2 linked regions of the Coturnix japonica genome follow. The protein of the gene in region 2 interacts with the protein of the main gene of each other region in a pairwise test. Links are inferred from orthologs where the notes say so. Each region holds a gene or a part of one and is shown on either strand. Other genes may lie near its edges. The genes, in order: RALYL and RBM41.

The links.
Region 1: the proteins of RBM41 (region 2) and RALYL interact in binary tests that used the Homo sapiens proteins (3 or more experiments, as listed by UniProt). The two-hybrid records come from large-scale screens. The link is inferred for Coturnix japonica from reciprocal best matches to the Homo sapiens genes RBM41 and RALYL.

Annotation. Positions count from the first base shown.
Region 1 is NC_029517.1:110,838,378-110,842,188, reverse strand, and holds part of RALYL (RNA-binding Raly-like protein), read right to left. Parts: intron 866-3,811; 5' UTR 843-865; coding exon 587-842; intron 1-586.
Region 2 is NC_029519.1:1,848,131-1,852,441, forward strand, and holds RBM41 (RNA-binding protein 41), read right to left. Parts: upstream 3,072-4,311; 5' UTR 2,825-3,071; coding exon 2,817-2,824; intron 2,748-2,816; coding exon 2,631-2,747; intron 2,549-2,630; coding exon 2,359-2,548; intron 2,239-2,358; coding exon 2,034-2,238; intron 1,878-2,033; coding exon 1,516-1,877; intron 1,293-1,515; coding exon 1,148-1,292; intron 962-1,147; coding exon 804-961; 3' UTR 255-803; downstream 1-254. Other genes in the region: NUP62CL (nucleoporin-62 C-terminal-like protein), read right to left, coding at 3,291-3,382. UniProt on the Homo sapiens protein: May bind RNA.

The sequences.
Region 1 (3,811 bases), on a different chromosome or scaffold from region 2:
AAATACACAAATATTCAAGATAAAGTTCTAGAAAATGAAGTGCTACATCTTTATATGTATATATATATATATAGTTTGGAATTCAAACGAGCAGTATCATGTGGGAATAACTTCAACCTGAGATTTCTGTAGTAAAAATATCGAAATGAATAATTACAGTTTGATTTGGTACGATTTCAAGGCCTAACAAAACTCATTCTTTTGCTTCTATCTAAAATCTTGCACAACACTGGGCTAGATGTTATTTTAGATTCATTAAAGGCAAAACAGCCACACCTATTAGTCAATTCTAACCATATCACATTTAATTTACTAACAGAGATTAAGAGAAAACACTTATAAATTCTTCACCCAATTAGTCATATTCACTGCAGTGAGTTCACATAGAGAATTATCAACACCCAAAACAAAACTAAGTATCTAGGCAGTGCACAGTACATCTAAAATTCTGCCAAACCCAACATACTAAAAATACACTTATAGGGAACAACGGTAAAACAAACTCACTAATCTCCAAGGCAACAGCAGCAGATGATGCAGAAAGGAAAGAGAAAACAGTATTTAAATGACGTGAGCAAGCACTTACCTAGTGGCTGCCCTGCGATGATCCTGGCATTCTCTCCTGCCACTGCTGCCCTGGCATGTCTCTCACTCATGTACTGTACAAATGCATAACCTTTGTGTACAGAGCAGCCAACTATTTTCCCATACTTTGCAAAGATTGCTTCTATGTCACCTTTTTTGACAATGGCTGTGTTCAGATTGCCAATGAAGACTCTAGAGTTGATGGACTTTGGGTCATTCTTATTGGTGACATTGCTGGTCTGTGTTTTGCCGGTCATGGCTGGATCACTTGGCTGTAACCCTTAAAGAAAGAACAAAGAGAATTATGTTTTATAATATGCAGTTACTCCTGGTCTGTTGATTTTTCCAGCAATAATTCACTTTTTCATTTTTTACTTAAGTTTTATCTAGACTCAGAAGAGTTGTATATTCTAAAAAATGATTATCAACAAAACCTAAGTAATACATATTAAAATCTTGATAATAAACCAAATTATACCTTCTCATTTTATAGATATAATATACAGCAATACATTTCTTAACATAATGCTCTGATAGTGGAGCTCTGCAGTAATCATATGTGGATTTGTGCTTGGAAATTCAATATTGACTTTTTAAGTACCTAGTCATCTAGAAATGACAAAGCAAGAGAATGAGTCATTATCTTATATCAAAGAAATGAACATCCAAGGCCGCATGCAGAGCAAACTCAAACAATGAATGGCTACTCTGCTTTTGTTCTCTGCTTTTGTTTGGTAAGTGTTAGCCAGAGCACATTTCTCACCAGTTAAATATCATTGTCTATCATGAGGAGAGTAGGACCAGTAACATATAATTCTTTATTGCAATCAATAAGTTTCCATTGGAACAATTTTCCCTATTAATACAGTGAGGGGAAAAAAAGAAGAAAAAAAAAAAAAAAGAGAGAGAGAGAGAAAGACAGGGTAAGCACAACTGGTTTACATGTCTAAAATTAAAAAAAAAAAAAAAAAAAAAAAAAGAACAAATTGCCTTAATTACATGAATAATTTTGGTTGCTGTTTTACTTTTCTTTCTGACGTAACAAAACCATGCGGGTCCTACCATTTCTCTAATGGAAAAAGCTACAGTATTCTTGGGGAAATGTTTTCTAAATAAGAAAGAACACTTTTTGTGCTCATCTAGCCCCCGTCTTTTGAAGTGCATTTGATTTTGTTGGCATGTATGTAAATTCCACCTGCCAGGTGGTCCTTCCATTTAAATCAATTTACTTAGAAGTGAAATTACCCCATGCTAGGTTTTCTTCAGTTATAATTGATAACAGACATGTCAAAAATGCACACCTTGTAAGAGTGAAGACTTATTTTTTAAGAAGGAGGCCATTCAAACAGCAGACAAATATAGTCCATCTCTTACAGCTAAGATTTATGTTACTATTTTTTAAATTGTTCTTACTTTTGATTATATCGCAGTAACAGTTCAGGCAAGAAGAGAGACCAGTTAAATACTTCTCACAGTTAAAGCTCAGTTCTTTTCACAAGATGAAAACGAATAATAAACTCTATTCTGGACACCCAGAGCTTGACATTAACTTGAAGAAATTTCACATTTAAAATCAATAACTACCAAACGTTAAGCCAGACTGAATCAAAAAGAAGCCATTGTTACTGAACTCCACACAATTTCTAGTGAACAAAACATCTGTAGTCATAGCTATCTGTACTTTGATTGTCTCCAAAACACATGATTTAAACCCCACTCTTTTGTGTAAGAACACACTATGGAGATATGTGGGCAATTCTCCAGAGTTCTAGAAAATGCTTTTTGAAAAGAGAACATGCAACTGAGGCTATAAAAGTCAAATACCATTTACTTCTGTAAACTCTTAATATAATATTTTACTTTATATTAGAACATTCAGAGAAATCACTGTATAACCAAAATAAGTTTTCTTGTAAATTTAACAATTTGAAATACATTCTGGAAATACAAGATATACTGCGTACATGCACAGACTTAAACATAGAAAACCAGGAAAACTACCTTGACAAAAAATGCCTGAACTTTTGAATATACATATATATATATATATATTATACCACTAGCTATGCATTTTCACCACTGATGAACAAGAGCCTGCATGCCATGCTTGTAGAAGTCACAGAGGTGGTGGCCACTGTTGACATGACTAAACATATCACCCACTGTTTCACCGTGCTCACATCCACTATTTTGGTCTCCATGAATGTTCAGCATTCAAAGATAAAAACTGCAGCAGTCAAGTATGAGGGATTCCTTTTTCACCAGCTATACCCTGACATTGCAAAAAAATACACCAGTGTGTTATGCACAAGCCAAGTCTTTTGGGAAAATCTCTCATGGGTAGCACTGCGTGTGTTTATGCAGACCTGGCAAATAAAGGTGTTATCATTATATTACTCATAACTGTGTTATTGTTCTCTGTGCACATTTATCAAGTCACAGAGAAAATGTCTGGCTTTTGGTCTCAAAAGCTTGGCTTGTAGTTCTTTTTCTTCCACTAACATGCTATATGACACTCAGTGAATCACTGTTTTATACTTTTCTTGCCACTTTTCAGAATTCAAACTTGAATTTTTGTCTAAAAGAGCTCTTTACATGTATTTTTATAAAGCTCCTAATACAAAGATGTCATGATCTCAGCTGAGACTTCTGGGCACAACTAATACAATGATGATACAAATGAAAAGGGAAAAAAAATCTAAAGAAAATCATCTGCCTTTCCAAAACTGCATGGAAATTATAAACAAAGAATCTCTTTAATTATTGCCATCACAACTGTTTTCAAAACACCAGAGAACTAAACTCTGTAGTTCCTCTATTGTTTCAACATTTTAAATAGAACTTACTAAACTATTCATTTTCATTTCCTAAAAATTCTCATTTTATTTTGCCTACTAATTTAAATTGAATTTGAACAGTATGTTGAATGCTCCTTCAGTAATTTTTCTTTGCAATGCAAATTCATAGCTTTTTTTTTTTTTTTTTTTTTTTTTTTACTTTTATTTAACACAAAGAAAGGTAGTTTTCTGGTGGGTTCTCTTATATGCAAATGTGCAAATGTGCTGCAAAAATTCAAAGGGTAATGCTATGGGTGAGAATAATATTAACATGTGAATAATTTAGATCTGATTGCATTGTGTGTCTACATACAATACTACCGTGAATATTTTATCAAAATCAAAGATACATGTGATCTTAATGCAACGAGAAAGAACAATGCAAGTTT
Region 2 (4,311 bases):
TCATTGCAGAACATTATAAGCTCTTTCCAAGCCTCAGCACTGCTGGACAAGGTGGGACTAGGTAAAGGTGGGAGGTTTCTGCTTTACCTCTCCAACCCCTTCTCCTCCCCATTGTCTCCTCTCTGCTTTACCTGCACCCTGCAGTGGGTTGGGGCAGGGGGAAGGGTTTTCAGTTCCTGCAAGTTGTTCTGGGGGAAAAATGCAAAATGGGGGGGAAGGGAAGCATGAAAGAAATAACTGATAATACACATAAATAGAATCTTGGGTTATTTTTGCTGGACACAGAGCTCCTGTGCTGAACAGTGGCTGCAGCTCAGCCAGTGAGAGCAGACAACCTCCAGTATATCAGAGCCCCAGCAACTTCTGCACCCAAAGCACCACCTTAAGGCAAACGATGCTGATGCTTTAAAACATTCAAGTGTGAAAAATGATGCTTCCTTGCACACGAGTCCCTTTTCTCTCAAAGGAGCACACTGACGTGCAAATAAAGATCCAGAAATACACGATATCAGCACATCTGTTCACACAGCTTCCCCTCTTCCTCGCCACAAGGGGTTGATAACACAGACAGGTGGAGCACCCCAACGGCAGTGTGAGAACAGTGCATGAGGAGCACCCAGCACCAGCCCCCCTGAAGAGCCTCATGTACCAGCAGCACAGAGGAGAGCTGTGCTTCCTCAGCACCTTGAGGCTGCGGTCAGCCCTCACCCTGCCCTGCAGCTGCACAGAGCTGCACTCAGCTCCCACCAGTCCTCAGCAAGGCCAGCTCAGGGCCTGTTCAAGTCCACGAGCTCCTCCAGCCCTTACGTGGCAGCAGGCGGTGCTCCAGCAGAGCAGGAGGGAGCAGCAGCCTCAGCCTCTGTTGATGGCACTTTGCTTTTCCCAAATTCAATCACCATGGGCTTCCCATGCAGTTTGTACCCGTTCACCAACAGCATCGCGTCCTGAGCTGACTGAACATCTGCAAGGAGAGAGCAGAATGGTTCTCAATGCACACCGTGACGCAGCGCTGCAGCCCCCAGCCCAAGAAAGCAGCATGCAGGAAACCCAGCAGCACGTTTGGATGAGTCCTCCCCCAGCACACAGAAAATGTGAGCAGAGATGAAGGGGAGATAGGAGGAAGGGCCAGGCAGGAGGCTGAGCTCACCAGGGAAGGTGATGAAGGCCTGGCCCCGCATGCGGCCGCTCAGCAGGCGGAACTGGATGGGTGTGCTGTCCTGCTGGAACCGGGCAAACAGCGACACCAGGTCCTGCATGGTCACACGAGGGGCCAAGTTCTTCACATACAGCACCTGTTGTGGAGGCACTGGGGTCAGCCGGCCTGTGCCCGGCTAACGGGTGTACATAAACCCACTGCCAGCCCTTACACCTCACATATAGGAGCCAGCTCAGCTCTGCTACCAGCACGGAGTCCCCCACGCACGCAGGAGCTGGCACCTCCACGCAGCTGCCAGGCAGGAGCAAAGAGCCTTTCCTGGCTGGAAGATGGACAAAGCGTGGTTCATCTCCATGTACCTTGTTGGGCTCCCCAGGACGGTAGGAAGAAAAGCGAGGTATGTTGCGGAGCTCTTCCTCAGAGAGCCGGTTCCTGCAGATCTCCTCCTCTGGGATGAACTCCACAGGCTCCTTTATAGTCACAGGCCCTGGAGGGGGCTGCTGGAGCTTTGATGGAGGGCTGGGGCTCCCTGCCTGGCCTGGCTGGTCAGGAGGTGATGAGTCCTCATGGTCAGAGCCCTGCAGGGCTGGGGCAGGCAGGGAGCACACAGCACTCGTGCTTGGTTGGTCCCCTGCAGGCGGCTGCTTGCCCAGCACCTCTTGGTAAACGCTGTCCAGGTGACCCATGGGGTCCTTCTCATCTGTGACCCTTGGGGTGTCATCTAATCCACAACAGAGAGACACGGTGTGACGGTGCACTTGTCCCCCACCAGCAAAGGGGCCGCTCTGCACCTCAGGGCTCAACCCCATCCCTGCAGGTCGCAGTGGGATCCCTGCTCTGTTAAACAGCCCCAAGGGCAGAAGGGCTGGGAGCACACCTTGGTGGTACAGTGCCCGCAGGAAGGAATGCCGGTCCGTCCCCTGGAATAGAGCGTTCTCGATCTCCATCTCCCTCCTGCTCAGCTGTTTGCTGCCAGCAAACCTCTGCGGCAGCTGCAGGATGCGCTGCCTCTCGTCCATCTTCTGCTGGATGGCATCGAGTCGCTCCCGCACGGCTTCGGGGGCCGCCCCCAGCCCGGAGCGCTGCAACCAAGGGGCCGCCGTCAAACGGGCCCCGCCGCGTGGGGCGGCCGAGAGCCGAGAGGAGGCGGCTCCGCATCCGGCCGGTGTTTATGGGGCTGTCACACAGCGGAGCGGCCTCACCTTCCCCGCAGCGCGGTTCCTCCATAGCTCGATCTCGGGGTCGGACAGCCCCAGGTCCCGCAGCGCCGCGGTCTCTCTGTCGCTCTCCTGCAGCTCTCGGAACTGGGACAGGCTCAGAGCCCCGGCCGCCGCCTCCCCGAAGGGCCGGTAGAACGCGGCCGGAGCGAAGCACCTCCGCTTCGACTTACACCTGCACCGAGAGCGGAACGACCGCCGGGAGCTGAGCGGGGCTGCCGCACCATCAGCACCCCCATCCCCCGGCCGGGACCCACCGCTCGATGGAGGCGTTGGTGTCCAGCTGCTGCTGCAGGAGGCTCTTCAGCTGCCGCTCCCCCTCCGTCTCCAGCTCCTCCAGCAGCACCTCATCGCTGCACACGCTGCTGCTCACCCTGCTCGGCACGAAGCACCGCTCAGCGCTCGGCCCTGCAGCCCCCGCCCCCCCGGAGCCCCCCGCTCACCTCCGCATGGCCGCGGCCTCCAACCGGGATCCAACTCTCAGCAGCACCCGCGGCGATGGCGGCGGAGCGAGCGCCCCCTGGCGGCGGGGAGGACGAAGTGCCGCAGCGCTCGCACAGCGTTACAAGCGGGATGTTAGAGGCACAACTCATTAACCCCTCATTAAAGCCCACATGGCCGTGGTGGGAAGCTGAGGCTATCAGACTCCTCACATCTGTCAACCCTCTTCTGTAAGGACCCAGCTAACACGGAGCTGTGATTGCAAGTATCCAGCTTGCACAAAGTGCTGAGCCTGGGGCAGCAGTTGTGTGTGTGTGCAGCAGGAGGAGCCTCCACCGCCACAAAGAGTAACTTCAGCAAAAAGACATTTATTGCAATTAAAGAAGGAACATACACAAAACAAAAGATGCCGAGCAGGTCCCCGCCAACCTCTCCTCTATGGGGCTGTGAGGTAAGCGTTGTGAACTGGGAGTCCTTCAATCAAAGGTGATCCGAAAGCTGCGCTCCTGCTCCTTGCGGCGGCTCTCACAAACCTTGGTCACCTCCTCCACCTTCCTCTGCAGCAGAGCTGAGGGATGGGGAGAGAACAGGTCACACTCAGCCCCAGCCTGCGAGCAAACACCCGCCCGTTCCAACACAGACAGAATCCCAAGGCAGAGCCCTGCTGGCCTCACAGATGGCACTGCGCATCCCAGCACAGCTCTGCAGGCACTCAGTGCAGTTCCCAGGCACGGCAGCAGAGAGCAGAGCAAAGCCTGCACCAGAGCTGCAGCCCTGCAGAAAGCAGCCGCCTTCTGGAGGCATTTCCCTGCCCGCCTCACATCACACTCCAGCCGTTGGGAATTATGCAGCTTCCAGGTTAACCCATCTGGTGGGAGCGTTGTCCTGCAGGATAACAGCCACAACAAGCTTTGAACTGCAAGTATAGTAAAAAGTGCAACGAGACGGAGGAGCTACAGATGACTTCCAATCATATTATAGATGCGTGATGTCACTCTGTGGTTTGGAGATACTCCAGCTGAAGTTTTAATCCTGCAAAGCGTGCCAAACCCAGAACCTTCCAGTAACACATTAAGCAACACATTTGCTTGTCAGCTTGCAAAAAGCCACCGTGCAGAACCGGCATAAAACAGCAGCCTGATTCTGCTGCTCAACTCAGAGCTCTGCTGGAACAAAGAAACACTCCTGCTTCAATCAGGAGGAGAAAGCAGCTGGGAACAAGGCGTTATCCCAGCTCTGCTGCCAGGGAGGCCACCGTGGGGATGGAACATCAGCAGCGTGTGCTCAGCAAGTCTATTCGTGTCAGTGTAAGCAAAGCTGAACAAGCAGCATTCGTTTAACTGAAGTCCCCCCTGTTCCACTTAATGCTTGAACAAGTCAGACAAGTTAAGCACCACTTTGCACGCCTGTTCCTAGAACAGATCGTTATCACCCCGCTGCTGTAGGACACCCCTGAGGGCACCTCATGGGAAATGAAACAGAAAGCAACTATTCTCT